Linked DNA regions of Alligator mississippiensis. The protein of the gene in region 3 interacts with the protein of the main gene of each other region in a pairwise test. Links are inferred from orthologs where the notes say so. Each region holds a gene or a part of one and is shown on either strand. Other genes may lie near its edges. The genes, in order: PSMA1, BYSL, CCDC102B and ENKD1.

What was found.
Region 1: the proteins of CCDC102B (region 3) and PSMA1 interact in binary tests that used the Homo sapiens proteins (3 or more experiments, as listed by UniProt). The two-hybrid records come from large-scale screens. The link is inferred for Alligator mississippiensis from reciprocal best matches to the Homo sapiens genes CCDC102B and PSMA1.
Region 2: the proteins of CCDC102B (region 3) and BYSL interact in binary tests that used the Homo sapiens proteins (3 or more experiments, as listed by UniProt). The two-hybrid records come from large-scale screens. The link is inferred for Alligator mississippiensis from reciprocal best matches to the Homo sapiens genes CCDC102B and BYSL.
Region 4: the proteins of CCDC102B (region 3) and ENKD1 interact in binary tests that used the Homo sapiens proteins (3 or more experiments, as listed by UniProt). The two-hybrid records come from large-scale screens. The link is inferred for Alligator mississippiensis from reciprocal best matches to the Homo sapiens genes CCDC102B and ENKD1.

What each region holds. Positions count from the first base shown.
Region 1 is NC_081825.1:195,497,272-195,505,037, forward strand, and holds the start of PSMA1 (proteasome subunit alpha type-1), read left to right. Parts: upstream 1-4,748; 5' UTR 4,749-4,838; coding exon 4,839-4,841; intron 4,842-6,354; coding exon 6,355-6,399; intron 6,400-7,766. UniProt on the Homo sapiens protein: Component of the 20S core proteasome complex involved in the proteolytic degradation of most intracellular proteins. This complex plays numerous essential roles within the cell by associating with different regulatory particles.
Region 2 is NC_081837.1:38,994,427-39,002,351, forward strand, and holds the start of BYSL (bystin), read left to right. Parts: upstream 1-4,919; 5' UTR 4,920-5,193; coding exon 5,194-5,464; intron 5,465-7,168; coding exon 7,169-7,334; intron 7,335-7,925. Other genes in the region: MED20 (mediator of RNA polymerase II transcription subunit 20), read right to left, coding at 2,880-3,034, 4,620-4,633. UniProt on the Homo sapiens protein: Required for processing of 20S pre-rRNA precursor and biogenesis of 40S ribosomal subunits. May be required for trophinin-dependent regulation of cell adhesion during implantation of human embryos.
Region 3 is NC_081826.1:103,259,887-103,267,332, forward strand, and holds the start of CCDC102B (coiled-coil domain-containing protein 102B), read left to right. Parts: upstream 1-4,427; 5' UTR 4,428-4,529; intron 4,530-7,446. UniProt on the Homo sapiens protein: During interphase, forms fibers at the proximal ends of centrioles to maintain centrosome cohesion. During mitosis, dissociates from the centrosome following phosphorylation to allow centrosome separation. Contributes to CROCC/rootletin filament formation.
Region 4 is NC_081833.1:34,730,914-34,737,739, forward strand, and holds the start of ENKD1 (enkurin domain-containing protein 1), read left to right. Parts: upstream 1-3,821; 5' UTR 3,822-3,926; intron 3,927-4,310; exon of another isoform or gene 4,311-6,420; intron 6,421-6,465; exon of another isoform or gene 6,466-6,826. UniProt on the Homo sapiens protein: Microtubule-binding protein which regulates microtubule organization and stability. Promotes the stability of astral microtubules and facilitates the proper orientation of the mitotic spindle.

The DNA.
Region 1 (7,766 bases), on a different chromosome or scaffold from region 3:
CGCTGCTGTGATAGACAATGTAATGTGAGATGTTGTTGCTTGATAACTTCAGAGGGAAAATGGTTTATTGTTAAAAATAAACACACTACAAGAGGGGAATGATGATAAAAATATTTTGAGAGACAACCTGATTCTAGGAGCACACCATTTTAAAAATAAAGATAAACAGCACTGATTTAATAAGCCAGCTTTTCTATGTAATAATTGCCACCTAGCAAAAGACAGGGAAACTATACTTGGGAGCAAGTTCTTGTTAAGGAGAAATGATGAACTGATCAAATTTGCAGTTACTTTTTGTTGTAATGGAAGATGTTCCTGTCAGATATCATAAGCCCTATGATAGGGGTTTTCAACCTTTTTTGGTTGGGGTACCCCCGGTGGCCAGTCGAGAGGCAGGGAGTCCCCCAGTGGTCAGTTGATGTGCTGGGGCGGGGAGGGTGTCCCCTGGTGCAGCGCACACCAGCAATCCTGGAAGTGCCAGCGGTGAAACCGGAAGTGCTGGTGGCTTCTCCAAGCTGCTGCTGCTGCTTACCCCCTATTGAAAACCCCTGGCCTATGATATAGGTAGGAGAAAAGGAGGCATTAGAAGAGGAAATATGGCCAAGTCTTTTATTACAACGCAGCAATATTTTGTGTAGTCCTCCTTCAGAGGGGTAAACTCAGTGGAAGCAAGCAAACAACATGATTCTGGGGAAACATGGATTGAATGCACAAATCACAGTTTTAGGACAGAAAGTTTCAGTACATGAAGCAGACATAATGTTGTCTCTTAAAGGTGCCAGGTGTCATGTTAAAAGTCTATATAGCAAGACCACAAGAAAGCTTGGCATGTCAAATAAGCACTCTTCCATCTCATCACTACTTTCTAATATAAACAAAACACTTAAGCTATTTTCCTTTATATTTAAACTGCTGTTGACACACCTCCTGAGTCCATGGAGATGTACAGCACTTCTGTGGAGGGCTTGATTGTCTGCAGTGGAGACCAGGCATCTAAAATGGAATCCCTCCCTTAGAAGTATGGTAATTCTGGCCTTGGGAAAGCTTGACCCTGTTCCTTTGAAATTCACTCCACGCCTTGGACTGGCAGCCTGAGAGGGCATAAATTGATATTGCACAATGCCAGCAAACCAGGTTGCTATTTTACCAAGAATCTTATGTTTTAATAGAGCTGCCAGCTTTTGGAGACAAATAGTTATGTGAGAATCTAGCCCCACATTGAAGCACTCTTGTGCCCCACCAGCTCCTATGCAACACTAAGCCAGGTGGAGCAGCCCCAGGCTGTGGCAGGCTTCTCATGGGCCCCCTTCCAGCTGGGGCCGTTCTGACCCAGCTCAATGTGCTGCACTCCCAGAAACACTTGCAGACGCAGCACCCAGGAGCAATAAACTCTGGAGCAATAAGCTCCAGAGTTTATTCAAAAGCAATAATAGCATGTGTAGACATGCCCACTTTGCAATTTATCATGATTTCTGAAGACTAATAAGAGTGATTTTCAACCAGGGTGCCTTGAGATCCTTTCAGAGGTGATGTGGGATGTCATGCAATTTTAGCACCGTTAAGTGTGCAAACATGAAATATGAGATATACCCAACCATTTCAAACAAAAATCCACAGGGTTACGAACATTCTGGCTTATTGTGGTCTTTCTGATTGCTTTGCAATAGAAAAAAATTGTATTATTTTTCCATATTCAAAAAATGAGTAAAAACCCACAGCTGACAGTTTCTGACAGGTGCCTTGAGCTTAAAAAGGCTGAGAGCCACTGGACCAACCACTTTGGAGCACTTGGGGTTTGCAATGCTACAAAGAAGACATACAGCTGTGGAACCAGGGAGGATGCACTGGTGCAGTTGCACCCCACTTTGTTTACTGCTCTACCCAAAATTTTAAACCAATTCCTGGCAGTGACAGCAACATTTCTGTTCAGGCAGCAGTGGGAGCATCAACTGAATTCATGGCTCATTAAAATCTACCTGAGTCTGTCTCATTCAAGAGTTCTTCATTCCACAGGTGTTAATGACCTTCTCTCCTTTTTTAATGGTCTTGATGTTCTGCGAATCAAGCTATCCTTTCTTCTGCAATTCTGCTATTTGTTATCTGCTCCTGGTAATGTAGCTCCTATTTCACAGCTGTGCAGATTGTTTTAAGCACACTCCAGTGAACTTATATTTGTTTTTGCTTTGATGTTAAACTGAATAATATAGTCTTAAGCCCCTAGCATACTAGTAAGGCTTCTAGTTTCTTTATACATTGCAAAAAATATGTGCTTTGTTATATGGGATGATGCACTACATCATTTGCATTTAGCTTTTCAAAACTGTACATCTGCCCATGGAAACACATTAATGATAAGCACTGAAAACAAACCCTCTACAAAGATAAGCAAATACTACAGAACAGAGATGGTCAGAAGAAAGGCTTGATAAAAAACCCCCCAGAACACTAACATTTATTGGATCAGACCAAGTGTTCAGCTTGCTCAGTATCCTGCATCAAAGTGACCAGGAAAGAGTCTCTGGGTGGGAAGACTCCCAGGAACTGCGGGGCCATTTTTCTGTCTCTGGTCTGTTCGCATCTCTGGGCAGAGTTTCACTCTGGGCAGTGCTGAACTCATTCAAAGACCAGCGGGCACCATCTGGTGCTCTATGCTCAGCATGCCCCCACCTTGGTACACTCATTTTGAACTTCTGACCTTCACTTCTGACTCTGTTTTGTCTTTTAGTTGTCCCATGCAATAAGTGATGCGATTAGTGCGCTCCCTCAGCAACGGCGGGGGGGCTTATAGGTCTATTTGGTGGGCTCTGGCCCATGTTCTAGAATGGCATATCAAAAGGTCTGGGTCACACAGTGGTAGAGAGTGGATGCTGAAAGGGAAAGTGAACAAGGTACGACGAGGAACAGTGGAAAAACCCTTTTCTCATTTGCAGTCTCCAGCATTTAAGGTCTAAGAAGTTCTAATTTAGAGGCTGTATCCTTAACACCTATGCTTAGTAGCCACTGATGCCCCTTTCCTCCAAGAATCTGTCTGATCCTTTTTTTGAATCTGGTTACAGTCAGCTTCCACCATATCTGGTAGCAAGGATGTCCACACTTGAATGACATCCTGTGTGAAAAAGAACTTCCTTTGTTTAGTTTTAAACTTTGTTAACACTGGTTCTTCTCTTGTGTGAGACAGGAAATGATAAATCCTTATTTACTTCCTCATCATCATTTATTATGTTGTCAACCTTTCTCATGTCTCCCCTCAAGCATCTTTCCTCTGAACAGAATGGGCCTAACCTCTCTAGTCTCTCCTCACGTGGAAGCCCCTTCATACAGGTAATTATTCTTGTTGCCTTCTTGTGGACCATCTTTAATTCTTCTACACCCTTTTTGAGCCATGGGGGATGAGAACCTGGCACAACGTTCAAGGTGTGGCCACACCTCAGATGTATAAAAGCACATGAGGCTACTTTCTGTTTAGTTTAAAGTTCTTTTCTGAAAAATCTCTAGCATTTTGTTTGCTTTCTGGACAGCTGCTGAAGTGAGCTGCTCTGGGAGCTATGAAGGTGGATGAGGATACAGTGTCTTCACTCATGAGGAATCAGAACTCGTGGCAGAGGGGATATCTTTTATTAGACCAACTAGGTATTTGTAAAAAAAAATTATTTGCAACCTTTCAGGCACAGGCACTCTTCTTCAGGCATAGGAAACAGCAAAGACTGTAAAAGTTCTCCTAGGTAGAGATGAAAATTCATATTTCACAGGAAAGCTGAAGGTGTGATAAAAATCTCCTGTTTGGACAGTTCCTTTTATGCAGATTAGGCTCAGAGAAGTTGGAACAGTCTCTTTACCTCAAAGCTGTCTGGTGGCCAGCAGGATGTAGTCATATTTCCTTCTGGTTATGATGTTTCATATTTCACAGAAGAGTAGAAAGACAGAATACTTTTCTGGGCAGGAATTTCTTTTGTGGTGAGGTATCTCTAGGCTCTGTGAAAATGCAAATTACCTGGAACAAAGGCAGGAGCAGGGTGTCAGGTTTCAAGTGGGAAAACTTGCTTCTTTCTTGTAAAATTATTGTTTTCATTTGAAAAATCAGCTGAAATTCGTTATCTTTCATGTGTCAGGTATCCAGGTAGCAGCCATAGGGGTCTAGAGGCAAAAGGATTCCTGGATACAATACAACCTGGATACCTTTGGTCATGTGAGCACACACAACCCACCCTCCTGGGTGTCCTGCTTCACTTGCACTGGGCTTTACTGCAGTCCACCTATTGGAAAGAAAGAGGGGGAGAAGGTTTCAAGCGATGCTTCCCTGGCCCATGCTCAGGGGAGGGCCCCTCCTCCCTCCCGCCCCGCACGCTGCAACTTCCTTTTGAACTCGAAAGCTTGCTTAATAACTATTCTCCAACTACTTGGGTCGGTCTAATAAAAGATATCAAATTCACCCAAGGAACCTTGTTTGCTTATTAGAAGACTTTCTCATTAGCTAGACCCACTAGCCCTTCCACTCTGCGCACGCGCTGCTCTTGCAGGAGACCCCCCCTTACCCGCCCCTTCACTCTGCACGCGCTGCTCTTGCAGGAGACCCCCCTCCCCTTACCCGCCCCTTCACTCTGCGCACGCGCTGCTCTTGCGGGGGACTTCTTCCTCTCCAGTAAGCTGCAACCTCCTCTCCCCTCTGCGCATGCGTTCGCCTTGCAGGCCAGTCCCCCACAAGTCTCTGATCGATGATTCCTCCAGCGCTTGGCCCGGCCTGGGGAGGTGGTGGAAGTTGCCAGTCCAGACCTGTCGCTCGCTGAGCAGTGCTCGCAGCTGGCTGCCGGGGAGCTCACGCCGCAGTCGCGGGAAGAAAGATGGTGAGAGTCGGGCCCGGGGCCAGGGCCAGGGCCAGGGCCGGAGCAGGGCAGAGGGGGCGGGCGCGGGGCCGGGGGTCCGAGGCGCGCCCTCAGGCCGGGCCGGTGGGGGAGGGGCCGTGAGTAAGCACTTCCTCGTAGCACGTGAGGCCAGGCCAGGCCGGGCCTGGCCAGGGTGGGAGGGCAGGGCAGCTGCTGCCACCCCCCCCGCCAGCGCCTCCCGGCGGAGCGAGCCCAGCCCTGTGCCTGCTTTTGCTTTCGGGCCCGGCCTCGAGGCCCCCCCCCGCGTGCCGACGGGGCGGGAGCGGCTCCTCTGCAGTCCCGCGCGGCGCCCGGAGCCCTGTGGCGGCGCATGCCACCCCCCTTGTACCGCTGCGGTCCCCGGGGACCTGGTGCCCCGGGGCTGCAGCTGCCCCGCAGCCCCTCCCCTCGGGGGAGTGATGGGAGCCGAGGACTCCACCCCTCACACAAATAAAAGAAAAAACAGGTCTTTTTCATAGTCACAGACAGTGAGGGTTGGTAGGAGGTCATCTAGTCCCACCCCCCTGCTCAAGGCAGGACCAGCCCCAACTAGGTCATGCCAGCCAAGGCCTTGTCTAGCTGGGCCTTAAAACCTCCAAAGATAGAGAGTCCAGCACTTCTCTGGGTAGCCTGTTCCAGTGCTTTGCTACTATCTTCTTGAGAGTTTTTCCTGATATCTAACCTAAACTTCCCTTGCTTCCATTTAAGACCATTGCTCCTTGTTCTGTCATGTGCCACCACTGAGAACAGTCTCTTTCAAACCCCGCTTCAGGTAGTTGAAGGCTGCTATTAAATCTCCTCTCAGTCTTGTCTTCTCTAGACTAAAATAAGCCCAGTTCTCTCAGCCTCTCCTCAGAAGTCATGTGCCCCAGCCCTCAAACCATTTTCGTTGCCCTACACTGGACTCGCTCCAGTTTGTCTACATCCTTTCTCTAGCAGGCAGCCCAAAACAGTGCTCCAGGTGTGGCCTCACTGGTGCTGAATAAAGGGGAATAATCATTTCCCTCCATCTGTTGGCAACACTGTTACAGAGGCAGCCCAGTATGCCAGTAGCCTTCTTGGCAACAAGGGCTCAGTGCTGGCTCATATTCAGCTTATTGTCTACTGTAACCCCCAGGTCCTTTTTTGCAGAGCTGCTGGTTAGGATGTGTAGATGATGTAATGCTTATATTAGTGCTGAGAGAATCATACACTGCTTTTCCTTCAGCTGTTTGCTGCTTGGGCAAAGAAAAGACTTCATTGTGTAAGTGGGGTAGTGGTGCCTCTACAGTTGAATGCTTTACTGCTTCATAATTTCCTGTCACCTTAGTGCTTTAGTTTGGATGCAAGTTCACCAATCAAGTTAAACGTGCTACTTATCTGTCACTGTTTATCAAATGAGCATATTTCTGTCTAATTCTGGTTTCAGGTTAAAGAAAATGTTTTTAATATAATAGACATTTTTTTTCCTATCTGCATATATTCATACTAACAAGTTTTAATATATTCATTTCAGTTTCGCAACCAGTATGATAACGATGTTACAGTTTGGAGCCCTCAGGTAAAAAGATTTCAATTATGGTTATTTGCTTCCCATTTTTACTGGTTTCCTTTTTCTCTCTTGATGACAATTGCATCCAGGCATTCAGTGTCCAGCCCCTTTAGGATAGCTTGAAGAGTATGACAAGCTGATGTTGCTCCTTGAATGACTTTTGGGTGTTCTAAAGCACAGTATGAATAGGGCTGCCTATCACAGGTACTATATATCTACTTTTCCCATCCCTGCAGTATTTAAATCTCTCTCAAAATCCCAGGAACACCCCAGGAAAGTAAGTGAGTTATTAGAATCCGTGTTTTGCAAAGGGCACATAAGCTTCAGAGATGCTAAATGATGCATCCATGGTCACCCAGGAATTCTTGAGGAACAAGGAATTTAACCCATTTCTCCTTGGTTTTAGGTGTGTCCTCTAATGACTGGACTATTCTTCAGGTGTTTGCCCTAAAATACCAGAGGGCTCTTAAATTTACAGTTCCAAGAATAATGTCAATAACATTTTATTACAAGCTTTTTTTGTTATGTCATTATTAATTGGTGTTTTGCTTGTGTGCAGAGCATAAAGAATAATTAACATGTCTGCACAGGTCTGTTTGGCTCTCTAGGTGGATTACAGCAGGGGAGCTATTTCCTCTTCTGATTCAAAAAATGATATTTTTTTTTTTGTAATACTGATTAGTTACTTTATTGCATCTTCAACATTTAAATGGGTGTCTTTCCCCATTGTAGTACTCAAACACTAAAAACTATTTTTGTCGTTGAAACATGTAATTATGTAAATATAGAATAGTTTACATGGCAGCTATATTTGATTTTGCATGTTGTATGAAGTATTTATGAATCAAGAGCTAGAGTATGTAAATGATTTGAGATCTTGCCTTTCTGTAATACGGTTTATTCTACACTCCTCCAATATATTTTGCACAGTGCCAGTTTTTAGTTTTCCAAATACAAATATATTCTGGAACCTGCCCTGCACACTACGTGGAGTAGCACTCCATGTAATCATAGAAGCTTCATAATGGCACCATAGTTAAGCTTGTATTGAGATTTGCATTTATATTAAGAAATAAATTTGTCTATAGTCATTTGTCTATGACTTCAGAATGAGCGTTCTGAAAAATACATTGTACTCCATCTAGGGCACAGCCTCTTCGTGGGTGAACAGTGTAAACAGTGCCCCTTAACCACAGGGACAGTATGGGCTAAGTGCTTCATTAAGCCTGGCTATCTTGTTTCTCAGGCCTTCTGCTTCTAATGACAGCCCTGAACTTGACAGAACTAGTTATTTAGAAGACTTTAAATAGATGGCTACTAGTCAGTTTCACCAATTATGTTGTTACAGAGTGCAACTATATTACAAACTAGCCCCT
Region 2 (7,925 bases), on a different chromosome or scaffold from region 3:
GTTTCTCTCCTCAAACCCCTTTAGTTTTTTTGGACAGGGGAAAAAGGCCAGCTTCAAAGGCAATGTCTGATACTGGAAGCATTTTAGTCATGTGGTGCGTTTTTTAAAAAGTCATCACAAACCGCAATGGTTGACCCCTGCGCACCATAAACTCCTCTAGGAAAAAAAACGAGCAGTGCACACACTGCAACAAACCTCTAGAAAATGATGTTCTAGCCCAAAAGACGTTTATTTGCAAATCTTTTTCACTCCAGTTAAAATGGAAATTCTGTAACCTTAGCTGAGACGGCACTGCCAGCCCGGGATGTTATTGCTGGGGGGCACCAGGCCTGTGGGTAGTGTTAGTGGTGCAGGCTGGAGTCCAGGGATACCTCAGATATAGCCTCTCTGAGTCAGCAGTGCTCAATCTTTTGGCCACATGGGCCAGGTGAGTCACGTGGAGTGGGTCTGTGGGCCAGAATGGGCCCTGGGTGCCTGGTCTGGGCTCTGTGCCACCTCCCCTTGGCCCTATGCACCCGAATTGGCTGCCATACTGCCTCCCCTGCCCTACACACCTGATCTAGCACGCAGGGCCACACTATCCAGCCCACAGGGCTCCTCAAGGGTCTGGAAATTTGGCAGCAGGGTTGCTCCCCCACCACCAAATTTTTGGACCCGTGGGCAAGGTTCTTTGGGTAGATGTGATATATTTTATTAGGCCAACGGAGTAGTTGGAAAAAAGTTCTTGGCAAGCTTTTGGGCGCAATCACCCTTTGTTAAGTATAGGGAGTCTCTGCCTGACGAAGGGAGACTATGCCCAAAAGCTTGCCAAGAACTTTTTTCCAACTACTCAGTTGGTCTAATAAAAGATATCACATCTACTCAAAGAACCTTGCCTACCTAGGTCCTTGGACCAACACGGCTACAACCAAAAACCCAGAAACCTGGACCTGTGGGGAACTTTGTGGGCTGAATGACATGCCTCCACAGGCCAGAACTGGTCTACAGACCAGGGGGTCAAACACCCCTGCTCTAAGTTGATTTGAATGAAGTTGCTCTAAAACCACATATCTAGTAAGACTGTCTTAAAAACTGGTATTCTACAACAAGCCCTGGGGCAGACAGTGGAAGGGAGAAGGAGAACAGTGATGAATGGATCAATTCACACCTCGGCCCAGGTTGTATTCAACTCCAGTTATTTAAGAACTTGTTTTGATGAATGAGGTCACTTCACACCTCCGTGATTCTCAGCACAAGAAGGAAAAGTCTATGATCTCAATGCAGCTGTAAGCCATCCCTGTGGCAGCAAATACAGCTGTCCCTGGCCCAAGGGAGAGCAAGGGTGATGCATGCAGATAAACGGGAGAGTATAATGTGGCACATTTACACATTCCCTGCATCTGCTTATTGTAGAGCAGCTGTGCCTGAAGCATAATTGCAGTATACCCCAGGAGGTCTTGCCAGCCAGAAGAGACAGGCTGTGAGGCACGGCAGACATGTCCTTAGCTCTGCATTTCCTGGTTTTCCCAGGTTTAAGTACAGATGCATTCTGGAAGGTGTGAGGCACCCTAGCTCTGCAATAACAACTCTGTAGAGAAGTGAACAATACCATGCATTTACAATCACCTGTCTTCTAAGGCTCCTAAAGTGTTTCCAACCTGGAATTGAATCCTCCAACCCCATATGAGGTGGGTCAGGATTGCTATTTCATTTTAGAAGTGGGGGAAAAAACCACAGAGGCACAAAGATTAACCATACCTCACCCAGAATCACACCCAGGTCAGAGAACAGACCTCAGGTCTCTCTCCTACCTGGAGGGCAAAAGTTTTACCAGGAGTCAACAGCCACAAGAGTGAAAGCAGAGCTCCATGCCATCAGCCCTATCAGAATGGCCCACATTGTGGGGACATAGCTGCTAAAGCTGGGGCAGGCAAAGTCTGGTGGATCAAGCCTGCGGCAGACTTCATTTCCCAGCAGCCCCTGCCTGCATCACTGCAGCCAGTTTCCATGGAGACCCCGGCAGGGCAGGACTGTGACAGCATGGGGCCAGGGTTTCCACGGAAACTGGCCCCAGCAGCGCTGGCAGAGAGCGGGGCTGGGTAGGGAGCTGCTCCGGGGCCAGGATCTTGAGCCAGCGACAGCGTGGTCCAGGGCTGGGACAAAACTATGACCTGCTGCCCTTATGCCCTGGGCAGGGGCGTGCAGGCAGCAGATCGCGGCTCTGCCCTGGCTCTGGACCACGCTGTCACTGCTGAAAGATCCCAGCCCCGGAATAGCTCCCTGCCCAGCCATGTGCTCTGCCAGCGCTGCTGGGGCCAGTCTCCATGGAAACCCTGGCCCCGCGCTGTCAGGATGCCACTGCTGCTGGGTAATGGAGTCCAGCCACCAGCTGGATCCACAATTTTGCTCAGCCCTATGCTAATGGGACCACAGCAGCCAGAAGGTGGTACAGACCTGTCCATATAAGCCTTTGTTAGCTGTTAAATAGCAGCCTTCTGTCTGCCCAAGAGATGAATTCACTCTGCCGGCAAAAGAAAAAGATTTTGATTCCACATAGCAGCTTTGAGTGGGGGCATGCTTACAGGAGGTAGAACTGAATCCCGCTAGCAAGATTATACAGCATAGACCGGGCTTGTCTGACCAGCTCTTCCTTCCTACCGCTAGTTCAATCCAGTTCAGTAGCACCATGCTGGGGAGACGACTGGAGAGAAGAAAGGTATAAACAGGAGAAAGAAGAGGCCTCAGAGCTGGCTTTAGCACTCCCAGCTAGAACAATAAGAGGACAATAATTTAACTCATTACGAGAGCAGAGTTCAACCCAACCAGAGCTACCAGCTACTGCAGCCAATATAAGGTTCTCTGCAAAGCATTTCACTCAGATAGCGAAACGACAGGCTGACCTTGGTTGCCCATGGTGGAGGCAGCTGTGTGGTAGGTCTCACAGTCGACACAAAACGTTCCTTGTTTCTCTGCTCCGAGCAGCTCCAGTTTCCTTGTCAGGATTTCAACCGTCTGTTGGACACTCTTCCCCTCTGCCACTGGCATCTGAGATACACTATCGAAGAGGAGTTACAGAAAAGAGTCAATAACCATAGATACCGAGACACCTTAACCAAGGCAGAATGCAATACAGCCAGACAACAGCGTTTTGCATCTAGAACAGAGATTAAAAGCCGACACGTGATGACCATTTGCTTTGTAAAGCATTTGGACGGTACTGTCAGCATTACTTTCATCTATCTTATCCGCTCACACTAGTGATTCTCAACCAGGGTGCCAGGGTACCCTGGGGTACCCTGAGATCCTTCCACATAATGTTAGCACAGTTGGTTATACAAACCCAAAGATTTCAAACAGACTTCCATGGCTGAGGGCTTTCTGAGTGCTTTACATTGGAAAAACTGCTCTATTATTTTCCCATGTTCAAGAAATGAAAACTAAGAGGCGGCACTTTCTAACGGGCACCTCTAATTTATCCAGGGATGCCTTGAGTCTAAAAAGAATGAGAACTGCTGCTCTCGGCTTCTCAGGGCAAGGACGATGCTACTCAGTGCCTTGTTCATGTTTGTGCCTGAAGCATTACAGTACTAAACACGACTAGCAAATGTAACAAACACCTCTAAAGGCTGTAAAAGGACCGCTGTGATCATGTAATCTGGCTTTTTATGCAACACAGGTCACAGAACCTTACCCGGTAACTTCTACCTTGCTGAACGACAGCAGCAGTTCCCAAACTAGGGGCTGTGAGGCCTTGGCATGGGGTCTGCCGGTGGGCCACACACACTGCTAGGTCCCACATACTTTTCTCATGCTTCCAGTGAAACGTTTGATGATAAACCTGCACTGCTAGCTTGCGAGAGAAATGGAGGATGGACTGCTCCGTGAGTACAAAGCCCTGAGCTAGATAGCGGGTCTTTTACAAAGACGTCCTGTCTCAGGTTAGAGACAGGTCCACAGAAGAAACCCTCGCTTCCAAGAGCAGGCAGGCACACCCAAAAGCCCCACGTCTGGCATTTTCAGTCCACTCCATGTCAACCCTGCTGTTCTCCACAACCCAGAAAGCCCTACAGACAATGGTTATTTGCCCTGCACAAAGTGCCACAGCGACAGCCCGATGCCATTCCTGCCGCCCCTATAAACATAGGACGAGCATCGCAAGGAAGAAGCCTCGGCCAGGCAGGACTGCTTCGCACCCGGCGTCTGCCCTGTTCCGGTGACAACAGCAGACACCCAGAGCACGACTTTGTCCCCAAGGCCATTTTGCCTTTTTGCCAAGGGGACCCTGCGTCTCTGTTCTGATACAGCGGCACCTCCGTGCCCCTGACGCCTGGTGCCATCACAGCCCTGTATTTGCAGCTGCGACGCTGACCTGGCTTGATCCAGCCTGATCTCTTGTCAGTTCCTCTCAACCCTGTCTACCTCCCAGCCCCTTGCTCACCAGGGGCCTCATCCCACTCCTCACCGCCTGCTCCCGGTGGTGGTACCGCAGGCGGGTGCTGAGTGGGGCCTGGATCTTCAGACCCCTGTGCATTGAGGGGCAGCTCAGCCTGCACCCCTCCCCCCATGGGGGGATCTCACCTGCCCTCGCCCCTTTGCTCCCTGCAAGCCTCCCCCCAGCCCGCACACATCCGGGGCCCTACCAGGTGACCCCCATGCTGGGCCCAGCGCTCCCGGCCAGCCCCTGCCTACTCGGGATCCTCTTTGCAGGCGCGGGGACCGCCTCTCCCGAGCAGGAAGCGGAGTTTCTAGCCCAGCCCCGTCCTCTCCCGCTGGAAGGGGTGGGAAGCCGAGTAGGAAATGATGTCAGGCGGCCAGAAGTGGGTGGGGAGGCCGAGCTACGACGCTGGGAGGGGATGGAGGGGGGGCAGGAGACAGGGGCAACCCGCTGCTGATGCGGGCAAGCGCGGGTTCCTCCGCCGCTGATCCGGGGGCACGTGGGCAGCGGACAGACGAGCAGCTGCCCTTCACACGCGGTTCAGTAGCTCACACCCGTCCCAGCTCTGGCCTACACACATCAGCCCCGTCTGCCCCTTGTAAAAAAAAAAAAAAAAAAAGAATGAAAAAAGAAAAGAAAGTAAAAATTGGGCGGCGGCGCCTTTAAGAGCGAACGTTCGGACACGCCTGTCGCAATGGTCGGAACGTTGAGAGTCGCAACGTTCCATCCGCGCCTGCGCGCCGCGTTGCTCCCCTCCGCCCACGTGTGCGCGGATCGCCATGCCGAAGGCCAAGCGGGCCAAGGGGAGCGCGGGGCCGGGGGAGGCGGTGCGGAGCCTGCCTCTGGCCGAGCAGATCCTGCAGGGCCAGGCGGTGCGGCCCAGCCGGAGGACGAAGAAGCGCGGCGCGGCCGCGGAGGCGGAGGACGAGTATGTGGATGAGAAGCTGTCGCGAAAGATCCTGGAGCAGGCGCGGATCCAGCAGGAGGAGCTGGAGGCCGAGCACTGCCCGGGCCGGGGAGCCGAGCCGCCGAGGAAGACCACGGTGTTGGGTGAGCGGGGCGGGGGAGTAGCTGAGAAGAGATGTCAACCCGATCCCCTTCGATCCCCCCCACCCTGAGCCCCGAGGGCAGGTCGTGGCGCTGGCAGGGGCACGGTTCTGCCTTCCAGGGGAGAGGAGGGCAAACCCTACACCACCCCGCGCTGTCCCACACCTGCCTTCTCATCCCTTTTGATCCATGCTCTCTCCCTATAGTGTCTGATCACCTTCCAGAGACGTTTAGGGCTGGAAGGGACCTCGTGGGATCATCGGGTCCAGCCCGCTCTGCTCTGGCAGGAAAGACATTTTAGTCTTCCCACAAACGCAGGTCTCAGCCCCCTGTGGGTCTTGTCTTCCGAGCAGCACACTGCAGAAGTAGAGAAGTCCTGCAAGAAAGTCAGGACTGAATCCCTGCTTCTTGATGTCCAGTCCCTGGCTTTATTCCCTGGGTCCTTGAACGTGAAATTCTCCCTGCCCTAAATCACCGTAGGTTGTTCCTGTCTATTGATAAACAGCAGCTGACCTAGGGCAGGGATGGGATGAATTCCCACTGGGATTGATTGATCAAGTATGCTCCTTAAAGACAAAAGGGGTGAGCTGTGGTTTTATGTTCCATTTTAATAACATAAACAGGGAGTAGGGAAGGTCAGACATGGACCGGACACCCCTCAGTACTCCTGCTACAATAGAGATCGTTCCCTACGTCAGACTCCCTTCTAGCCAAGCTCTGTAGCAGCCTGCATACATGCTACTGCTTAGCTAGCACGTCAGCCTGTTTTTGTCACTGTAGATGGTATTGCTGTGCGGTCAAACCTAGCAGATTGAGCTGAATGGATGTCTTTCTGTCATACTAGTGATGTTTTGGACTAGGGCCGTTGCTAGGCCAGGATGCTGTAGCTGTGGGACAAACCACGTTCACTGCAAATACTGACAAAGAGCACTGGAAAGAAATTATTTAGATTCTACCTTGGGAACTTGCTTCATGTATATGTGGCCATTAAAAAGTATAGAATCATAGAACATTAAAGTTGAAAGGGACCTCAGGAGGTCATCTAATCCAGGCCCCTGCTCAGAGCAGCACCTGTCAACCTAAAGTAATCCTCGGACATGGGAAATCTGAAAACCTTTTATTTGCTGTTACCTGGAACATCTAAGCTAACTGAAAGACCAAAGAGAAATATTATATCTTGTATATTAAAGTTGATGGGACTGCTCTCATGTGTGATGTCAAAGGTGTGTGTGAATGCATGGACCTGTAAGCTCAGCCCCTGAGGCAGCTTTCCCTGTGTCTGTGGGCATCCATCCTCAAACAAGGTTTGGGGGGTAAAAAAAGTGTTTAAAAATAGGGCAGTGCTATTGCAAAGCTACAAGAAAAGCAGGGGGAACGCGGGTGCAGAGGTAGGACTGGGAGCTGCTTATAACTCAAATCATTAGAACTTCAGATTGGCAGGGTCTCTCTCAATAATGATGTTGCGGTTCAGATGTGCTCTGTTTAATCAAATGTGGGTGGCAGTCCTCACTGTGTCTTCAGCCAAGGCCTGGCAGTCTCTGGTGCCCATCCGCTTGGGCTATTGGACTTCTTCACATTGACCTCTCAAACTACTCATCACTATAGAAGAGGTGATGAGAGACTATGGTATGGAGAGCTAACTGGTACAGCACAGAGGTGCTTAGTTTTCCAATTTGTCCAAGCCTAACCGTGCCTTGTTTGGTTTAGGATCTGCATCTCGCGATGGGGATTCCGATGCAGAGGACGATGACGAGTGGCCCACACTGGAGAAAGCCACATCCATGGAGAAGGAGGAGTATTGTGAAGAGGTGACAGTGAACCCTGAGGATGAGAGAGCCATCGAGATGTTCATGAACACGAATCCACCGCTAAGGTAGAAGATGAGCCTCTGAGCTGCAGTGTGGCACTTCTGAGCAGCGGGCAGTATCTTCTGCCACCATGCGGCACTGGAATAGGGTTAACATTTCATGGAAGCGCATGGATGGGGGTGGCTGCCTAAAGTGCTGTTCCCCACCTGTCGTTGGGGAAACTGAGGCATGGAGAATTGTCTTGTTCAAGCTCATAAAGGAAGTCTGAGGGAGGGCTAGGAACAGAGCCCAGGAGTCCTGATGGCCCCTTTCTGGGTGCCAAGCAGCAGATAGTACTCCATTTTCGAGAACTGATGCATGTGTGGCACAAACTCCCTGTTCCTAAATACTGTGTGCAGTACCTGAGATCAGGGCCCAGTTGTTATTGGGCAGTAGGCAGTCCCAGCCCCAAGATCTGGCAGTCTGAAAAGTTAAGACATGTAAAGCATAGAGGGGGAAACAAGTACAGATTCAGGAACTGACTTGTCCATGGTCCACAGTAGCCCTGTGGCAGATCTTAGACTAGAACTGGCGTCTCCTGAAACCTAGTCTGGGGCTCAGTGCACTAGAGCAGGGGTGGTCAGCTTGTTGTGAGATGTGTAGCCTCTGTTTGTGGC
Region 3 (7,446 bases):
ATCCGGAGCTGAGTCGAGTTCAAGCACCTGTGTCACGTGCTTGAAGGGGAGTGGGGAACCAAGAAAAGAGATCTGATTACCTCTCCATATGCATAATGTTATATAAGTTGATTAACAGTGTCTAAGAATTCCTTTTTCTACAGTGTCTACCCAAGGTTCAAAATACATGTCAGAAGCGGATCCAGAGAGAGAAAGAGAGACGCAGAGGTCGTCTGATGTGTGACTCCACCATGACACCTATTGAACTCCTCGTCACTGAACTCTTTGTAACCAATATATTGATGTGTATGTGTGTTGGTTATTATTTGGTTCGGTCCGTAGAGGACAAACTACTGTCGTTGTATACTTTTGTACATAGTCATTTATCTTTAAAAAGGAGCGATAACTTGGATGGTGTGCACGTGCTTCAAGTCCCAACTGTGTCTTTGGCAAGGGGGCATGTCAGAGCTGATTTGAATCAGTGCCTCGACACAGTGGAACTTTCTAGCACAAGGCACGGTAAGGCAGGGGAAGTCTTGGCATGGTGAAGAGTTCCGACGTGGATAGAGTTCCCGCCAAGGAAATGCAGATTTGCATAATGTGATTGGCTGATGTTAAATTATTCCCATGTGGCGGCTGGCAATTGGCTCGCTAGCCATATAAAAGGTTAGGGGCGTTTCCGCCCTAGTTGGAGAACTCTGCGATTCCCCCTGGAGTGGAACTCCGGCAGCTTGATCACCTGCCAACGACTCCCCGTCGGCGAAGCCTTGCGACGTACCCTCCGTGTTGCATGCCCGAGTTAGACCCGAGCTACCCTGTCTACAAGAGCTCCTTGATTACCGATTAGAGAATAGAATTGTTGCAACTACGATTGCCTGCGCTGTATACGACTCTACAGTGTAAGTAAAGCTACCTCTGTTTTCCAATTGATACATGTCTCGTTTGTGCCTAATTCTGCTCCGGTGATAGAGAGTACCCATCTTCCCGTCACGGGATCGCAGCCGCAACCCCAGCTAGCGTTCCCAAGGACTCCTGATCCTCGATTCCCCCTTGGCCCCCACAGCTACAAAATGTCTCGGCCGGGCTGAGCCGACTCGAGGTGATTTAAAAACTGCTCGTTCGTCAGGGCGGGCTGGTGAATGGAGAGGCTGACAAGGCTTAATGGTTGTAAAAAACTTTACTTACGTCGCGGGTGGCTGCGACGGAAACGGTTTGGTCGTCTGGACAACAATGTGAGTTGCTTCAGCTGGTGAGGCCAATGCCAGTAAATTCGTCCGTAATTCAAGCCGGTGGAAAAAGGGTACGTCTGGGACTGCGTTCGGCGACGGGAAGAAGGATCGATAGGTGATCAGTCTATCGATCAGCTAGCCGCAAGTCGGATCTCTTTCGAGGCACTCTGCAGCGTGCTCAAAGCTCTTTGACTTGGGCGGAAGTCGCGCTAGTTTTTAAACGGCCAGCAAGCCAATTACCGGCCGCCACGTGTGAATAATTTAGCACTAGCCAATTACGGGGCACAAATTTACATCCGAATGGCAGGAACTCTTTGCACCATGCATTTCTGTGCTGCAAAGAGAATGCATCCTGCAAAAACAGCTGCAAAGTGGCGGGAACTCTCTCCTGCACGCGGGCTCTCTATGCAGCAAAAACCCTCGCTGTGCAAGAGACTCTCGTGTGTCAAGAAAATTCCATAGTGCCGAGGCACCAAACTCACTGGGTTATGACACAAAAGACCAAAGGAAACGTGTTATGGTGAGTGCTGGAAACATGAACTATGTCATGGAAATAGCATGCAATATGTTTCAAGTAATGTGCATAACTGTGTGGGGGCTTGTCCCTAATACATTAGTGATTATGGAGTGCCTACAGTATAGTCTAGTACCTCTTTTTTTTGGATATTGCGGTTTTTAGGGTGCCATTCTGTATGTGGATTGTGGCATCAAGAAAATTTATTTTAGTGTAGGAATATTACAGAGAAAGTTTTATGGAGGGGGGATAGTTGGAAACCATATATAAAAAAAACCCCCATGGAGAACCATATTTATGTTCACAAGACCAGCAAAAGAAGCTATAAGCTACAGTCAAGCCCTCAGGTGCTACTGTATCTGCTCCGAGGAAAATAGTAGTGATTCCTACTTGGGCAGCCTAAAATCTGTCATTATGCAAGGACCCTACAGTACCAAAATAGACTGTACCTTTGAAAGAAATACTCTGCAGTAACCTGCTACAATACAAAAAGAAACCCCACTGTTGCCACCTACCACCACACACTAGAACTGATTAGAAGAATCAAGAAACAACCACAGCTTCTGCTCAACAAAGATGAGACATTAGGGAAAATATTCCATGCCCCTCCACTCCTGGCTTTCAGAGAACCCAGTTCTCGCCCAGTTCACTGTCAGAGGCAAACTCCTCACTGTTCAACAGGCATCAAGTGGGACACAGCCTTAGCAATAAATGCTTAAACTGTCAACACACATCTCCGCTTCTACTATAATCAACACACCCCTCCGCCACAACAAACAATTCAGAATTCATGGAGAGACATATTTTCCCAAAATTACATTTCTGATTCAATGTACCAGATGCCCTCATGGAAATTACATGGATGAAACTAATCAACAGCTATGCATTGGAGTCTAGGGACAGACATTACACACACACCGGTTTAAACGATCAGAAACTTGTTTAAATTTGTAACACAACAGATGTTCAGTGCACATAAACCAGTTTGAAAATGGCTGAATCCGGTTTGAGATAAACCTGGTTGAACGTAGTATCAGACTTAACTGATTTGGCTCAAACTGGTTTAGGCAATGTCTGTCCCAGACCAGAGTGAACCTTCACGGGAAGCAGTATAAAGGACACAGACACACACATGTTGATAAGGAGCACATGTTTTATAGAACAAGCACTTCCTTTTTGACCTCACTATTCTCCTGCTCAAGGGATATCTACCAAAAACCTTTAAAAGGTGAGCTTGGGAACAGAAATTCATAAGCTGGCTGGACACTAGGAACTGAGGACTGAACACCAATATTGATTTTATAACACACTATAATCTACCTGATTCCTGAAATTATTCCTACACACTACAGGTGATAATGACCCTTTTCCTCTTGAAAGGTCTTGATCTCCCATCAATTGATCTTCTTTTCTTCTGCTAATTCTTTGTCTGCTACCCCTGGGAATTTCTCTCCCTCTCTAATTTCATAGATCTACCCACTGTGCCTAACAATTTCTGTGCTTGCTTTCTTCTTCAGACCTGAAGAAAAATGCTTTGCATTTAAAGGCTTATCTAATTCCAAATAAAGGAGCTGGTCCAATAAAATATATCACATAAAAAAGTCCTTGCCTCTCACATAACTCCTGGACCATTACAGTTACCACATGTCTCTAGCACTACCATGTCTTATTACATGACATACAAGAATGGATCCTAAATCTGTGGTTAGGGAGTTTTAGGCTAGGGGTTTTAGGCTTTATAACAAAGTTATTGAATTATGGCACAACCTAGGCCCTGAAATCATGGGATTTTTCAGGGTGCATGTGTGGAGTTTTCTTTTTAAATTAAAAACTTCAAATATTAAGTTTCTCAAGAGACTCATGACCTGTTACATCACATACATGTCTGACTTTATGCCCCTAAGAGTTCCAACTCCACCAGTGCTTAGAGGTTCCAGAAATTTGGCAACAGGGGAGCAGCAATTAATGCTGCCACTGCTCCTCTGCCACCAAATTCTTGGACCCATGGGGAGATTCATGGGCTGCATGACATGACCTCATGAGCCAGGTCTGGCCAATGGCCTGGAGGTTGATTACTACTGATGTAGTATATCACAAGTCTTTGTTGTTTTGCAGCCTTAATAAGTAGTTTGTTTGTCACAGGAAAACCCAAGGTGTGCTAGTACTATACAGCAGTGGTTCTCAACCTTTTTTTGTATCAGGACCCATTTGTAAACATTAATGGCCAGTCCCAACCCAGTGCCCCTCACACCCCAGCCCCCCACTGTGTGGGGCAGGTGGTGGATATGTGGGGCATGGGGGTTCACAAACACTGCTATACAAAAATGTAAGAGGGATTTTTTCCATCCCCAAGGTTATTCTTTTTTAAATCTGAAAGACACCAAAATAAATAAGTGGCCTTGTTTCATTTGAAGATGCTAATTCTGAAATGAATCATTGAAGTCAATGGTACACTTAGATTAGAATATTCTGAAATCTTTGAACAAATTGGGGTCATAATTTATAACCGACAATGAAAGAAGGGTTAGAAACACAAAGAGAAGCAATGTTTAGTAAACAATAATAAGCACAGTTTTAATTTTGAGTGAATGACCTGTATTTAAAAAAAATGTTGTGGCATTAGTTTTGATAAATCCTGACCAATGGGAATTGTTTTTCAAGTTACTGTGGAATGGCCTTAATGCTGCGAATAATCCTGTTGGCCAAGACCCCAGTGCTCTGCAGATGAGAAAAGGATGCAGGAAATTCTGTTGTTTACACATATGTCTGTAACACTGAGAAGCGAGAGCAGCCCAGCAAGCCTGAGGGTAAGGGGATTTAATATGCTTGCGAGTTTATGATTTAATTTTTTAATGTTCCTGTTGGGATAGAAGTTGTTGTCATACCCAGGGTGAAGCTGTAGAACAGCAGATGTGCATACCACCTGAAAAGATAATATGTCTGAAAAGAAATGTAATTTTTGAGTACACAACTAGTTTGAACTTTCCTTTCCTTTCCTTTCCAATTTGCCTCCGCTCGGTAAAGTTTATCCAGATATGTAAACTATACTTTGACTACTTAGATATAGTGTTTGCTTATCTAGACTAATCAGGGAAGATTTTAAAATCTTCAGAATATGTTAAGTGCTTTAGATTTTTATAAGTGATGATAACTTCTGAAAAATGAGTGTAAATATGTATTATTTGAAAGCTTCTACTGTCTTGGTGTGTATACGTGTATGTATAAAAGAATCAAAACTTGCTTTATTTTCTATTGCAATAGGAAGAGGTGGTGATGTTTTGGTCATTTTCCACAACCTCATACTGTACTGTACAGAACTTTGTCTCTGGAGTATAGTATTGTTTGAGTTTTGCTGCCGTGCTCATAAATTTCTGTTATTGTTAGCAGGAAGTTTTGTGGTCAGAAAGAATTTCTAATTTCAACAATGTAGATAGTGATAGTTATCTTAATTTCCTTCTGAAAAATACTTGAGTGCAGGCATGATTATGGACTAAGGGAAAAAACAGTGTTAGTCTTTTGCTTAGTTTTATTGCACAAGTGTAATGTAATAGGCTGGCACTACAGAAAGATATATAATTTGTCCACTCTTTGAAGGGGTGGATTCCCAGATGGAATGTGAATATGTGGAATATGTAGACCTATCCCTAGCCAGAGCTCCAAATTCACCAAATGATGTAGAACAGTCTAATAAACACATAGCAAATAGTTATAACAGAGTTTTTGTTCTTTTTTTAAAAATAGTAATGACCTGTCTTTCCATTCTCACTAATTTCATTACAGTTCCCCACATCATCAGTGTTTCTATAAATCAGCCTTGTTCTGTTAAGCATGTCAGAATATTGTTTATTTTGCATCTTCATAGATTTCTGCTGCAATTATTTGCCAGTGCACTGAAGATGCAAAACATTATATAAAAGCTAAGTATTATTAATTGGGCCAATTCTGTCTCATGCACTCAAACATTCCATTGAATTCTGTAGGAGTTTAGGCATGACATTTCAGTCCTTGAACCTAATCTTGCTTGCTTTTTTTGCATTTGTTAAATTCAGCCTGATATTTCCCTTAAAAATATAAAAAAGTTATGCTCTTAATTTCAGATTTGTAAAAGAAATGATTTATCAACATACATGGGCCCTAATCCAGCTGCTAGTACAATCAAAGCATTGCTATTGATTTTTGTAAATCAGAATAAATTAAAAGACTCAAAGGCTCCATCTTGTTTATCCTAATCTGCTAGTTGAATAATCAGATTAGTAAATTGATTAGTCATTATTGTTAAGACCTGCATGTATTCTTCAGCATTTCACATAACACAGCAAGAAACCTGCCCTACTTTTGTTGCACACAGAGGTCACAGTGAGACTGTTGCCACACAGAAGTTTCAGAGGTGGTTGTAAAGCACTGCTGGCCAATAGCAAGTTTTTAATGGCAGCTGCTCTCCACAAAAAATATTCTAGTACAATCTTGTTTCATGGTTCCTATATTTTCTGTTTTTCTTTGAGTTGTCCAGTAGAACTACTGCAACAAGCATGTATCCTCTTCCATTTAAATATTGCATTTTATACTTGCCCCTTTTCCTGAATAAAATGGTTATTGATCACTAGAAATAAATGAAAAACAGCTGGCAGGTTAGTACAATTTAATAATAGTGACAGAAGGACTTGACAAAAAAAAGTCTGTTATAAATCATTGGATCCTTTCATATCTCTTTATAAACAGGCTGTCCTGTAATTTGTAGACTTCATTTTGTGAATATGTTGAATTTGGTTTCATTTATTTTAACCGACTAGATTAAAAACAAAAACAAACAAAACAAACTTGAATTTTCCCAGCACCAGAAGAGGGAGCTATATGCTAAAAGATTCATATTGGGAGGGGGGGGGGGGGGAACAGGCAGTTATGTACCTCTGCTAGCTGTATGGTTAGAGAGAGCTGTGGTTTGAGTTTTTATTTTTTGTTTTCACTTTTTTTCTCTCAGCTCTGATTAACAGCAGAGCTGTGACACCTTTCTGACTGACACTGCCATGATTACTTCTATATAAAATGGTCCACAGAGTGGACTAAACAACATGACTTACCTAACCATAAATCTGCATATGCCTGGTTTAAGTTAAACCTGCTGGGTATATATCCATTCTGTAGAGGAAAATTTCTATGATGGTAGCAGAGATGTATTTTACTATCTTTACTTGAAACTATATATGTTATGGAAAAGTGGTTAAAAAGAACAGAAGAATCTGGGCAGGTCCTTCAAAATTTAAACATGCAGACACGTGCACACTTTTTCAAGAAGGATCCATAGAAATGGATACATAGAAATTTAAGGTTTTATCTTCTGATGTCATTATTTCTTTAAGTTTTAAGCCTCATTCTTCCTTCATTATCTTGGCCTCTGGTTCATGTCCTTTGCTTTTACTTGCTTCCTTCCCTAGCCCAGCAATTTCTGTTTCACTGAATACTTTAAATAGCAATACCAATATAACACTGCCACTATAAATTTATAAGGGTTTAATTGATCCCTTGACCTAACTGCATATCCTGTAATAGGAAATCCTTACTGCTCTTAGGTTTTTCCATATTGTTCTAAGCCAGGGGTTGCAAACATTATTTGGTTGTGGAAAGACCCAGCTCTTGGTAAAGCTGGACCAGTGCTAGTACCCAGATGCTCCTACTACCACTTCCCTCTACGACCAAGCTGAGACATGCCATGGGTGAAGTGCACGG
Region 4 (6,826 bases), on a different chromosome or scaffold from region 3:
TCAGTTTTTACACCTGTAGTTGTGTGTGTACAAATGATCTTAAGCACAAAAATGCCACCAGAATTGCAGGGCAGCTAAGACTGCATCAACAATTAAGGCCTGATTTGTGGGCCCAAGTGTCATTAATTCCTCTGCAAATAACCTCCCAGGGGAAAATAGAAGCTAGTATCAGAGCATTTGATCCTGAAAAGCCAGAGATATTGGCACGTGCTGTGAGTTAATCACATGGGATCTCATAGGAAGCTGGTTGCAGAACAGTCACAGCCTGTTGTGAACATCAAGAATCACTCAAGTTCCAGTCACACAATCTGGACTTGCTGCAAATGAGCCTCTTGCCTTTTGTTTCCTGCTATAATTTGCTGTGGCTGGAGAGCTGATACCTCCTGAGCTACTGCAGTTTAACTGGGAATGGGATTTCAGGGCCTCTAACCCTGCCTGATTGGAGTCCCCTTGCAGGCAAAAATCAAAATCTGTTCATCCTCTGTATCCATTTAAATGTTCTTCAGTAAAGGTTGCAGTTTTTCTCCTGTGGTTGTATCCTGAGCATATAGTTAGCCTCAGAGCTATCAAGCCATAAATATGTGACAGAGGCCTTAAAATGTGTCGGCAGGACTTACTCATAAACAAAAGACCCTGCAAAGACCAGAGGAACAGGAGGCTGGAGGAGGGGGGATATTTCTCCTGTTACAATGTTTTTGACAGTCTCAATGCAACCAACCATCCTGAATGTGGCAGAAGACTTCCAAATTTTGGGGCTGTGCCTTAGCATCCCTGATGACTTCAGGTAAAAACTGATTTATCCTGTTTCTGATTATCCCAGGCTTGCAGCTGATGACAATTAACTTGAATTAGCCATGACTGCTCAGGCAAAAAAATGTTATTTCAGATACACTGCAGGTACTTAGAAGTGGGACCATGGGCTTGTACACCTGTAGAATAAAAAGATTTCTCCTGGGATAAACATGACACCTGTTTTTCCCCACAGAAATCAGATTTCTTCAAGGACAAAGCCTTTTTGAGATCCTCAGATCCTACAGAATTACAAGCCCATTATTCAACTTTAAGTAACTGTGAAGTATCTGAGATAACTTTTCCCCAGAACAATCCTGGCTCATCCAAGGGACAAGCCTGAGAATATTTTTCCCCAGCATGATTTAGTGAATTTTAGTTACCAGACTGCAAGTGTAAAGGGCTATACCACTCCCAGTTTTTGACACTGGTCAATCAGAATGCAACTCAAATGCAGTGTCTGTTTTTAGTAGGCATCTATCTTGCAAAGCAATAGAATTATGCCGAGTGGAACATCAGCTTGCTGAAGGTAATCCTCACTTGAAAATAAAGTAAAACTGGAGTGACCCCTCCAGGGTGCAAAAGCTTGGGCAGTGATTATGGAGACACTGAGCTGTCTGCACACCAGTGTCCCCCTCTCAGCCTTGCTGGTTTAATCCAAAGGAGCAAAGGAGAACATCCAGAGAGTGGGTTTTCATAGATTTCTAGGGTTGGAAGGGACCTTGTAGATCGTCGAGTCCAACCCCCTGCTTTAGGCAGGAAAGAGCGCTGGGGTCAAAGAACCCCAGCTAGGTGCTTGTCCAGTCTTTTCTTGGACACCTCCAAGGTAGGGGACAGCACCACCTCCCTTGGAAGCCCATTCCGTATTTTGGTAACCCTCACCGTAAATAATTTCTTCCTGATATCCAATCCAAATCTACTCTCCTTTAGTTTGTGGCCATTATTTCTAGTAACCCCGAGGGGTACCCTGGTAAACAAAGTATCCCCTATTCCCTGCTGACCCGCCATGATGAGTTTGTAGACAGCCACGAGATCACCTCTCAGCCTTCTCTTTCGGAGGCTGAAGAGGTTCAGGTCCCTCAGTCTGTCTTCATAGGATCTTACACACAGGCCCTCAACCATGCGAGCTGCCCTTCTCTGAATCCTCTCAAAGTTATCCACATCCTTCCTGAAGTGCGGCACCCGAAACTGGATGCAGTACTCCAGCTGTGGCCTGACCAATGCCGCATGGAGAGGAAGCATCACCTCCCTAGACCTGCTCGTGATGCACCTGATAATGCAAGAGTGTGGTTAGCCTTACTTATTACCTCATCACACTGGCAACTCATGTTCATTTTTGCATCAACCAAGACTCCAAGATCCCTTTCCACTGTCGTGGTACTCAGAATGGTATCCCCCAGTCTATAGGTGTATTGGAGATTCTCGCTCCCCAGATGTAGCACCTTGCACTTATCCTTGTTAAACTGCATCCTATTCTGATGTGCCCACTTCCCCAGTCTATCCAAATCTGCCTGGATTCGCTCCCTGCCCTCCAGTGTATTTACTAAGCCCCGTAGTTTGGTGTTGTCTGCAAATTTGGACAGAATGCTTTCAATCTCCTCATCCGAATCACTGATGAAGATATTGAACAGCACTGGTCCAAGGACAGAGCCTTGGGGAACACCACTGCTCACATCTCTCCAGAGAGAAACCGCCTTATCCACCACCACTCTCTGGGTGCGTCCCATAAGCCAGTTTTTCACCCACCTTACTGTGAAAAAATCCGCATCATAGCTACTCATTTTGTCCATCTATTGGGGCTTCACTCCTAGACTGGCTGCTGATCAGAATTAAAGAGCCCAGTCTACCCTATAATGGATTGGACTTCAGTTCCACAACTTTTAGGTGGCATTTCCTCCACGGAGGGTAAGACTAGTACCCCCCTCTAAAGTACTCTTATGCACAAAGTCATTGGCACCCTAAAGATTGTTAGGTTGTTTATCTGCTGCCCAGCACTCAGTGTTAACAGTCGCAGGTAGTTCTGGCTACTGTATGTTATGGTAGCAGTTTTTACTTTCCCTGAAATAAGACTTTTGTCCTGATTTGGTTCCTTTCCACCCTAAGGACAATACCATGTTCAAGGAGCAGGTGCCTTCCCTCCCCTGCTGCAATGCCACATATCCTCAACCAGGTCACTCCTTTCTGGTGTAAAGCAAGGAAAAGTAGGCTACACATACACATCCCTTTGATCACCCTGGCACCTTGCTTCCTTTATGGGTTCAGAAGGGGTCTCAGTAAGCAGCTGTGTAGCAGGCTGGCAGTGCCAGCTGCCACGGTGCAGGTGGCCACAGATGGATCTGGGATTTTGAAAAGGTGGCATGGCTCATTGTCATGTGCAATACAGCACACATTTTTCTCTGGTTAACAAGAAGCTAGTGCCGTGGGTTGGCACTGTAGTATTCAGTTTAAAACGGAAGCAAGAACAAATATCACTATTGGAATGTCCATTAGTTTGCTCGGTTATGTATTATGTTAATAAAAAGACAACAAACTAGACATGAGGGCAAAGATGCTGCGCTGTTAGTTTGGTTGTTGTCACACTGACTGTACGTCTCATTTACTCAAGAGTTGTTAAAAGCTAGCACCTTGGGCCTCTCGACAACAGTGTCTCGGTAGGTCGGGGCAGTCGTGTCTATGCCCCACTTCTGCTTTGTGGCCAGAGCTAAAGCCCAAGCAGAGGCTGCAAAGCTGGGACAGGTGGGACGGGCTGCCATCGCGGCACAGGAGAAAGAAGCATTTCAACAGAAGAACCTCGAGACCTTTGAAGAGGAGAGAGGGGGGCACTAACTAACACGTGCGGAAGGGAGATATCAGCAGGACCCGAGGAGCTGATAAAGGCCCTGAGGCCGCTCGACCCCTCGGCGCTGCCTGAACAGAGCCGCGCCGCACCGCGCCGCGCCGCCAGGCCCCCGGGCGGGGCGGGGGGAACTGTAGGGGCCGCGAGCTGGGGTCGAGCCCCCCACGGGCCTAGCTGCGCATGCGCGGCGGTGGAGCCCGGCCGGACTCCATCTCCCAGCAGCCCCCGCGGCGCCGGAAGGGCCGGTTGCCTGGTGAGGGCTGCGTGGGGCTGCTCCGCCTTGTCCGCCCGCTCTCGGCAGGTGCGTGCGCGGCTCTCCCGGCCCCGGGCGCGTCCTGCTGTGGGGGTGGCGGCGGCGGCGGCGAGCCGGGGGGTCGCGTCAGGCTAGGCCAGGCCAGGCCAGGCCCGCCCGCCTGTTGGGGTTGCGTCAGGCCCCGTCCTCGGTGGGCCGGGCCGGGCCGGGCCGTGCTCCCCGCGCCCCTCGGCTCCGCCGGCGGGGCCCAGGGGCGGGGGTCGGGGGCGCTGAGCACCGACTGCTTTGGGGCAGCGGGACGGGGTGGGCGGAACCAGCCGGCTTCAGCGGCCTCCCCGGTGGGGCGGGGCGGGGCGGGGCGGGCGGCGGCAAAGGCGGCGGGAGCGGAGGCTGAGTTGAGCAGCGTGTTATACAGTAATTAAAGGAGAAAGGCCGGGGGAGCCGCCCTGGCTGCGCTTGCGGCTGCCTCTCCCTGGCTCCCTCCTGGCATTCAGAAGCGTGCCGTGACTCCTGTAGGTGCTGCAGCCAGGGGAGCAGCACAACAGAGTGGAGACAGCTTCGGTTTTTACAGCATCTGTCCTCTGCCAGCACCTCAAAGCACTGCACAGACAGCAGCAGGGAGTATAATGCTGAAATGGGGCAGTTTAGGGCAGCTATTTGACAGCACCAGTTGAGGGCAGGAAGTGAAATTGCACAGGGCACAGCCCGGCAGAGAGCCTGGAACAGCAGAGACTGTGACTAGAGCTGGGGCTAGCATCTGACCTTCAGAGGATGAAATAGGATCTTTATGGGCAGGAGTGGTTAGATCCCCAGCTTCTGGGTGTTTTGGAAAGGTGGTGGATACTGGTGGGTAGAGATCCTGTACCAGTGAGCAGTTGTACCTTAGGAATCCATTAGCGCCCGGTGCTGGGAGAGGGCAAGTATGAACGTTTGCTCGGTTTTCACTTGCATCAAATGGTCACGTGAAAATGTATAGCTGGTTCCTCCTGGTTTTAGCTGGCCAGTGCAGCTGTGGGCCTGTTGGGGTGTTCATGAACTCTGAGCCTTGTAGAGGAAGCCTCAGAGGTTAGCTGAAGCAACTAAATGTTTCTAATGCAGTTTGCTGGAACACCTCAGGGGCATTGTGGCAGTGCTGGTACTTGGCTAAGAGTTCAGTCTCAGGGACAGATTGCAACCTAATTACACTTAACCTGCCCAGTTGGGCCTGGGCTGGTCTATGTGCTAGATCTAGCAGTATGGGGCCAGTGGGCAGGACTGGTCTGGTGGGGTGTCACATGCAGCACATTCCTTGTGCTGGAGCAGCCCTTGTATTGTAGTTAGTGTCAGTTAGTCTTGCTCCAGGGGTTATGCTGCTGGAGGCTGTACATGGGCTGGATCAGGCACTGTGGGTGCTGCCTGTTGCCTTGGGGACTGGCTCACGGTATAAAGCTGCATCCCAGTGGACTGGCCCTGAACTCTGGCTCTGAGGCTAATCAGGATTGGGCTCCAGGCTATCTGTGTGCAGGGCTGTGTGCAGTACATGCCCCATACCAGCTCTGTGTGGCAAGCAGTACCTCTGGTGCTGTCTATCTGGCTCACCAGAGGTAACACAGTCTTTGGAGTGGGGCTGGCATATGGTGTATGGGCTAGACCCAGTGCCATGGGTGCTGCTTCTTGCACTGGGGGCTAGCACAGGGCTTGAGCTGCATGTGGTACCCTGCTGAATAGCCTGTCCTGCTGGCTCCAGCACAACCTGATCCAGACTGGTCCCAAAGCTAGTGCACAGGGTTGGCCCAGCAAGGATACCTTATACAACTCATGCCCTGAACTGACCCCCTGTGCTGCAAACAGTGCCTGCAGTGTTGGATCTACCCCTCACACTGGACTGGCTCCATGTGCTGCATGCAGGGTTAATTGGAGACTCGCAGGCTGAATCTTTTGTGGCTCCATGGGCCAGATCCGGCCCATGGGCCGTGTTTGATGACCCTGGTGTAGGGCATCTGGCTGATCTCTCCAGTGGCAGGGTTTTAGCCTTTCAGGACTTCAGTAGATGTACGTTTCTTGCACCCTGAATGTCTGGAGTGGAGATAATCACACCTGTGTAATGTCCAGCTTGTCTGAGCTGCATGGGACAAGTGCTAGTCATTTAGGCTGTGAACGATGCTCCAGAGGTTGAATCCTCTGGCTGCTTCCTTCCTTTCCTTGTCTGTGAGATAAAAGGGCCCTGAGAAATGCTATCTTTGGTCCTCAGTGGGGAGCTGCAATGGGAACCCACAAAAAGCCAACCCCTCCCCTCATTTCTGTTTGAGATGCGGCCAGTGGACAGATGAAGACAAAGCATATGTTGGAATCTGTAGCATCTGATCTAGTGGAGAGCTGTATGCTGGGTCCCACAATCTCTGCATGGGAAGGATCCTTGGGGCAGAGCAGAGGGAGGCTGCTTGCTATGCTGTGGCCAAGCCTGTGCTGTGCTGTCCTGCCTGTTCTGGCCCAGGAACACAACTCCCTTGTCCTTGGAGCGTTAGGAAGGTCACACCTACATCCTCACCCTCTCTTTAAACAGGTATCGGTCTTGGTCCCTGCCTGGTATCCCAGATGAAAGTCCCATTTGCCTTGTGTTCTGGGCTATTGCTGAAGGGTATTCTGCCTCTTGGAAAGAGCATATGAGCTACCTTTGCTCCTAACAGTTTGTGTGTGAAGGCCAGCCCAGTGTATAGGGAAAAGACCTGAACACACAAGTCACCAGCATAACTGGTGTTAATTGGCCCCTCTGTCAGCAGAGAGGCAGGAGAGTAAACAGGCCTTGAAGGCTGATGTTTGAGGGCAAGGCAGAGGAGACCCTCTGGGAACAGAATATGGTTTGCAGTCTCTGTGGCTACCAGGAGCTTCTCATTTGCTTTGGGACCCATGGAGAGTGTCAGTCTATCCTGTTCCTATCTGCAGTGTGGGCCAAGGGGAATGTACACATT